Xenopus tropicalis: one gene and its partner. The protein of the gene in region 1 interacts with the protein of each later gene in a biochemical or structural test. Links are inferred from orthologs where the notes say so. Each region holds a gene or a part of one and is shown in the gene's direction. Other genes may lie near its edges.

Region 1 (3,659 bases):
AAAGTCATGAAATACTGCTCTGAACATTCACACAACCATGGACACAATCCCTTCCCATGTCTGCACTGTCGCCCATCAGTGATAATGAGTTCTTCTTATCACTGAACGGCTTGACATTTTGATAGGATTCAGACATGGATAAATCTATATGGGCGTAGCACAAAAAAACAGATTATGAGACCCTTTAAATCAGATCTTCAAATGGCTAAAATACAGCACAATTTATGGTTGAATGTCCGTATAAGACATAAATCTGCATTTTCCAATTTCCCATAAAATTTACAGCCAAACATAACTCACATGCACTTCTCGTCCCTGGGAATAAAACATTACGACAGCAGTGTAGAATTCTACTATCCGTGCCGTCAGTTCACGGTTTATCTCCTTTCTACAGTAAGTTGTTATGCAAAATTCAAACTTTATATCCTGATTGCAAGACACCATTTGCACCCATTTTAGGTGATTAGGTAAATCCAGAGGCCATACATTACCCTACCCAAACCACCAGCCACATCCACCCCACATTTTGATGGTAAGGTAGCTCTCAGCAGCAAGGATCCATTACTGAGGGAATGGAGACTGGCATGCGGAGGAGCCTCAAAATATCAAGTGTAAGTTATGTTCACCTTAATTTTGCTGCGAGCGGTGGGAGGGATGAGTAAGGACTGCTCACATGGGCTTGTACAAAGGCTTGAAAATGTGCTTATCTGACTGACTCTTTGCTGCTTTTCCTAGTTTCACCCTGGAAAAAGAAAAATGGTGAGTATATTGGATTGCTGATGGCCAAGATGATGATTTCAAATGTGAACATGAATTTCTGTGACCTGACTAATACTATTATTTAAATTCAAGATAATTAGTAACTCAACGAATCCTATCTAGTTTTACGTGAATTGTGGGGGTGCCGATCCCTTCTACTGTGCACTAGACTTACTTTGCACAAGAGGTGGCTTATTGTTCTGATACCATAAGCCAGTGATCCCCAACCAGTGGCTCCTAAGCAACATGTTGCTCCCCAACCCCTTGGATGTTGCTCCCAGTGGCCTTAAGCAGGTGCTTATTTTTGAATTCCTGGTTGGTTTTGGTTGCATAAAAACCAGGTGTAGTGACAAACAGAACCTTCTGTAGGCTGCCAGTCTACATAGGGGCTGCCAAGGCACCAGTCAGAGCCCTTATTTGTAACCCCAGAAACATTTTTCATGCTTGTGTTGCTCTCCAACTCTTTTTACATTTGAATGTGGCTCACAGGTAAAAAAGGTTGAGGATCCCTTCCATTAGCAAATCACATTTCAATCTTTCATACTGAAATCTTTCCACTAATATAGAGATTGACTCTGATACAGAGACCCTGACCATATTGAATGATATAGAATTTATGAGGCATTACATTGATTAGTTGTTCTTAGAATGTTAACAGTTCCAGTTATCAAGCAACAGATGGAAGAGGCTTTATTGTGCCACCTTGTGCACACAGTGCACATCCCACTATTTAATCAGTGGTTTGGCCATGAATGCTTGATGCTTCAATAAATCACACTCCATCTTTGGTCAGTTATATAGGCCATCCAACAACCAGAGATTACATTGCTTACTCCTCCCTGACACAAGGTGGGACGGCTTTGTCTCTTGCAGAAATCATGGGATTGGTTAAAATATACAACTGAAGAAAACTATTTTATTTATATAATTTATATAGTATAAAAAACACAAATGTAATAGTGCTTTTTTAGGGCAGTGACACACGGGGAGATTAGTCACCGCGTGACAAATCTTCGTCTCAAGACAACTTTGGCAAATCGCGGTGCCACGTATGCCATCCCACCAGTGATTTACATTCTAGCCAGTGGGATGGCATTGCGGGGAGATTAGTCGCCCGCGACAACAGAGGTTTGTCACGGTGCCACTAATCTCCCCATGTACCCCTGCCCTTATGGTTCCACACTCTCTGTACATTGTAAATGGCCCTATTTATATTAGTCTCACTAATAAGTGCATCAAAATTGCCCCAGTACTTAGTTACAGAGCTATGATCTGTACTACCTACCCCAGGGCTGTCTTATTTTATTTTCTCAGCCAGGGAACGTGACTTTGACCCAAATGAGACTTGAGTTTCATGTTCATAGGAGTGTATATAGTAGTTTTAAGGAGCTTCTGTAATGTTATTTTGCTCCATGAATGTGGTTCTGGGTTCCACTAAAATAATGCAGCCATTGGCTCTTTAAGTGGACTCTAACCCTCACCTCCTACCTTGTAATGTGACAGAATGTAATTCAGTAGCATGCAATATAGAGATTTACATATATATTTATATGTGAGTACTGGGAGCATATTGGATTCACAATGGGGATAGGGTAAAATTTGGCACCATGATTTATCCCAAGTTTTCATTGTAGAGATCTGTACAAATGGGAGCATTTGGTAGCAATTAGTGGGAGCAGTCTTTAGCTTGTTTGTGGAAGACTCAGGAGACACCAGGCTCCTGGGAAATGATTTTGGATGACCATGCTAATTCAATTCACACCCAGTTACACCCCAATAATGCCTCCTTCCTTCCTGCCTGGGGTATAAATAGGTCATGATAAGCCACCAGTATTAGAGTATCACCCTCATTTAGCATCAGATGATTATCTTGAATATCATGCATCATAAATACATTTTAGAACATAATAAAAATATTAGTTATGTTTAATTACTGCTGAAAATTGCTTAGAATAAAATGATGGCACAAGCAAGTTAATAGCAGTGTTATTAATATAATGGAGAAAGAGTTAATGCTCTTGAATAAATGGGTTCCAAGAGATTCTGTGTCATGCAATGAACTCTGCCAGTACTCACTCCCACAGCCGCTGGGAATGTTTCATGTTAGGTCCATATTGTCCCTTTTAGATTTTTTTTTTTTTATTTTTTTTTATTTTGTAGAGTTCAAGCAAATTTTCTTAGCTTTTTCACCAGAAAAATAGATTTATGCAACAGAGTTAATATGTTACAAAAGTATATATAATATTAATTTATATAATGCTTAATTAAATATATATAACGATCAGATAGATAAATTCAATGGTATTATTTAGTTAGGCTTCCTCTCCCGCTTACCCCTAGTGGCCGTGGGGAGAACAGTTGTTTGAAGGGGAACAAAGTATACAATAAGTAACCTCTTTAAAGTGTTGTGTGCCCCTGTTCAGTTTTAATAGCTAAAGATGTTTATATTTGCTCCTGTAGTGGGTTGTCTTGTTGTTTATGCCCAACATGTTTATTATTGACATTTTTTTCTTTCAGATTATGAACCACCCCAGAATACAGAGAAGAAAAGAACGGTGTACCAAATGGCACTAAGTAAGAAAAGAGCACAATAAGATTTAACTTCACAGTCAGTTGGGTTATTTCAGCATCAGCATTCAAGTGAAACTGGTAGTCAACTCATTTCTCCACTTACAGATAAACTGGATGAAATCTTGGCTGCAGCCCAGCAGACAATCAGTGTCAATGAGAGCTCTAGTCCAGGGACTCTGGCTTCAATGGGAGCATCCAGGGCTGCTGGAAAGGGATTTTTCTCTGCAGAGGTATTATGTCATTTGAGATGAAACTGTTGGTCTTTTCCTGTGTTATCCAGTGGAAACTAAACATGCCAAGATGTCCTGATGTTGGTGTAGTACACCCAT
Region 2 (3,759 bases), on another chromosome or scaffold:
AGTGAGCAGGTCTGGACTAGGATTGAAAATAGGCCCTGGCATTTCAATTACAGAGGCCCAAACATCCCCCCTTATAGGCCCAATAGTGAGTGTCTATGGCATTTCACATCAGCCCTTCTGGCATTTGCCTACATCCACAGATTGCCAGTCAGAGCCTAGAAGACAGGTGTTTTTTCTAGAAATTGTGGCAACCCAAGCTTTTACAGCATGACAGCTTCTAGCTTTAGGATAAGTTTCTCTTAAATTCTGGCCTTACCCCAAATCATGAAATCTGCTATAGAAATATTAAAAACTATGACTAAAAAGATATGAGTTTTTAATTGTTGCAAGACTTTGACTCAAATGGAGCATTTTCTTTTAATTCAGAGTCCAAACGTGTATGAGCCAAGAAGGCGCCAAAACGCCAGGTGGGTAGAGAAGCATTGGTACAGCTCCTTATATATCAGCGTATGGATACAGGAAAGGGTTAGATGCGCGGAAAGGGCCAGGCAGGCAGAGAGTGCAGTACGGTTGATATTATGGGCACGGTAAAGGGATAGTAACGCTCCGCTGAGCTATTAAAGCGCCTCCCTCCACAGCCCCCGGGACAGTACAGCCGGACTCCTGCGCTCTCTCTCCCACACGTGTAACCCGAGCCGCTGCACGTAGGAGGGAAAGCCTAAGGCTGTTGCCCTGTAAGGTAAAGTCCCGGTGCCTGGAGAGGAGCCGGAGCAGGGCAGGGCAAGCGCTAGTCCTTCCCACACACACACAGACATATCGCGGCGGCTTATGTATAATTCAGCGGAGCGCAGGGGGTTCTGCCCAGAGACGCCTTCCCCTATCCCGTGAGTTGACATTTTTCTTACTTTGTTTGGGACAAGCCGGGCTCTGGGAGTGAACCCGTCCCACGCAGCGCTCTGATTGGCCCGGCTCTAATTCCTGAGGGCTGCTCCCGGCTTACAGGGACACAAGAGAAACTTTTCTCCATGTGACGTCACGGGCAGAGTCGCACTCATTGGGACGCACAGACTCGCAGCGCTCCTAGCGCAGATTCTTCTGCTCCCTCCCCCCCCATCGTACCGATATTCCTGCAGGAAACAGAACTTCCACTGGATCTTTATCGTATTGTTCTGATTCGGAAAGTATTCGTTTCCCTTGTCGGGGTATTGAGGCTGCCCTGAGACGTAGCAGCTCGGTTCTGTTGCACCAGGGAGCTCCCGTTTGTGTCGGTGCTGCAAAGATGAATCCGAGCCCACATCTCCCACCGCCGGGGCAGCAAGTGATCCATGTTACCCAGGACCTGGACACGGATCTCGAAGCTCTGTTTAATTCGGTCATGAACCCGAAGCCAAGTTCTTGGAGAAAGAAGATTCTCCCGGAGTCGTTCTTCAAGGAGCCCGACTCGGGGTCCCACTCCAGGCAGTCCAGCACAGACTCGGGCAGCCATCCCCCCAGGCAGGGAATTCACTTCCGATCCAACTCATCCCCGGCATCACTGCAGCAAGGGACTGCTACCAGCACTGCGCCAAGTACCGCTCAGCTACACGCTCACTTGCGCCAGCAGTCTTACGATGTGACAGATGAGCTCCCCCTGCCGCCGGGGTGGGAAATGGCATTCACACATACGGGACAGAGATACTTTCTCAAGTAAGTGAGGGCAGTGCTGGCTGTGCTTGATATTACCCCCATCTATACAGGGTTATGCCAGTTCTTTAAGTCTGCATACAGTTATCCTTAGACATTTTTTCTTTTTATAGTCTTTTCTTTAGTTTCTGTGTTTTTCAATTATTGAGCTTTTTGTGTAGCATCTATCTGGTTGTTAGGGTCCAGTTAACCCTAGAAACCAGACAGTGGTGAGAGTAATGGACTGAAAAATGAATAGGAGCAGGTCCAGGTAAAATAACAATAATGCTGCAATTGGAGCCACACAGGGCAATAGTTTTTAGGCTGCTGGGATCAGTCACCACAACCTGAATACATTTTAAGTTGCAAGCCAGAAAGAGGCTGATGATGAAGGTAAATAATTGAAAACATAAAAATGAAGACCATTTTAAAACTTTCTGACTGAGTGTTAAGATATTTAAAGGAACAGTAACACCAAAAAATGAAAGTGTATAAAAGTAACTAAAATATAATGTGCTGCTGCGCTGCACTGGTAAAAGTTGTGTGTTTACTTCAGAAAGTCTACTATAATTTATATAAATAAGCTGCCATGTAGCCATGGAGGCAGCCATTCAAAGGAGAAAAGGCACAGGCACATAGCAGATAACAGATAAAACACTATTGTATTCTACAGAACTTATCTGTTATCTGCAATGTAACCTGTGCCTTTTCTCCTTTTTTCCAGCTTGAATGGCTGCCCCCGTGGCTACACAGCAGCTTATTATATACATTATAGTAGTGTTACTGTAGCAAACACACCAGTTTTACCAGTGCAGGGCAACAGTGCATTATATTTTTATTACTTTAAAGCTCTTTTATTTTTTGGTGTTACTGTTCCTTTAAGATATATCCACGAGTGTCCAGTATGTGGCTCCCTTCTCTAGCTCTTAAAGGAACAGTAACACCAAAAAATGAAAGTGTATAAAAGTAACTAAAATATAATGTGCTGCTGCCCTGCACTGGTAAAAGTTGTGTGTTTACTTCAGAAAGGCTACTATAATTTATATAAATAAGCTGCTGTGTAGCCATGGAATCAGCCATTCAAAGGAGAAAAGGCACAGGCACATAGCAGATAACAGATAAAACACTATTGTATTCTACAGAACTTATCTGTTATCTGCAATGTAACCTGTGCCTTTTCTCCTTTTTTCCAGCTTGAATGGCTGCCCCCAGGGCTACACAGCAGCTTATTATATAAATTATAGTAGTGTTACTGTAGCAAACACTCCAGTTTTACCAGTGCCGGGCCACAGGGCATTATATCTTTATTACTTTAAAGCTCTTTCATTTTTTGGAGTTACTGTTCCTTTAAATTACAACTTCAGTGAGAGCTGTAGTACAACAACAGCTGTCTGAGAGCAGTTCTGTCACTGCGGTATTTAAATCTAAAAGTTGTACTAAATCTGTTTTGTTTGTAACCTTTTTGTTGTCCACAAACTGTCTTTTATTGAATACTTTCACTGGGTGGGAACATGAAGTGCCAGCATCTCATATACTCTGGTACCTAAAGATGTAATAGACACCTGCCTGGTAGTGCAAATAGTGAGTCCGGCTAGTAGAGTCTGTAACGTGGTGCTTGGAACTGAGGAAACAATTTGGAGAAATGGTAGCCAGCAGAAGGTGATGTGTCTGGGACTGTAATGTCCTCCCATCTGGATCTGATGCTGTAATTATTCTTGCATCACTTACAGCAGGGCTGCTTTCTTGTTGTAACTGGTTCGGTCTGGGTCTAGGGCTATGAAGCTTGGTCTTAACAAAGTTGAAGCCCTTGCACTAGGGTGCTAATAGGAATCAGTCTGGTCTACTTCTCATTTAGCAGGATAGCAACATTTGATACATTGTACATCATTGTTATTTACATGCAGGAAGAGACCTGGAAACACTGACTGCCACATTCATCATACATAGTCATACAGTGCCTTTGCTAGTAAATGCTTTCCTGAAACTGGGAGATATATCCTTCTAGTGAATTCTAAGGATTTACTGAAAATCATGATATTACAGTAGGAACTTACAAGTTTGTCAGACCCTGCTTCAGACAAGAGATTACAACGAGAGCTTGGGGTGATATATCTATACAATAACAGATTAATAAAGGCATCTAGATACACTGTGCAA

The links. The genes of interacting proteins can lie anywhere in the genome.
Region 2: the proteins of shank1 (region 1) and wwtr1 interact in a test that uses a peptide from one of them, tested with the Homo sapiens proteins (2 studies listed by IntAct, with this or other methods). The link is inferred for Xenopus tropicalis from reciprocal best matches to the Homo sapiens genes SHANK1 and WWTR1.

The regions. Positions count from the first base shown.
Region 1 is NC_030683.2:110,063,300-110,066,958, reverse strand, and holds part of shank1 (SH3 and multiple ankyrin repeat domains protein 1), read left to right. Parts: intron 1-735; coding exon 736-759; intron 760-3,276; coding exon 3,277-3,333; intron 3,334-3,435; coding exon 3,436-3,560; intron 3,561-3,659. UniProt on the Homo sapiens protein: Seems to be an adapter protein in the postsynaptic density (PSD) of excitatory synapses that interconnects receptors of the postsynaptic membrane including NMDA-type and metabotropic glutamate receptors via complexes with GKAP/PSD-95 and Homer, respectively, and the actin-based cytoskeleton.
Region 2 is NC_030681.2:122,437,433-122,441,191, reverse strand, and holds the start of wwtr1 (WW domain-containing transcription regulator protein 1), read left to right. Parts: upstream 1-1,219; coding exon 1,220-1,626; intron 1,627-3,759. UniProt on the Homo sapiens protein: Transcriptional coactivator which acts as a downstream regulatory target in the Hippo signaling pathway that plays a pivotal role in organ size control and tumor suppression by restricting proliferation and promoting apoptosis.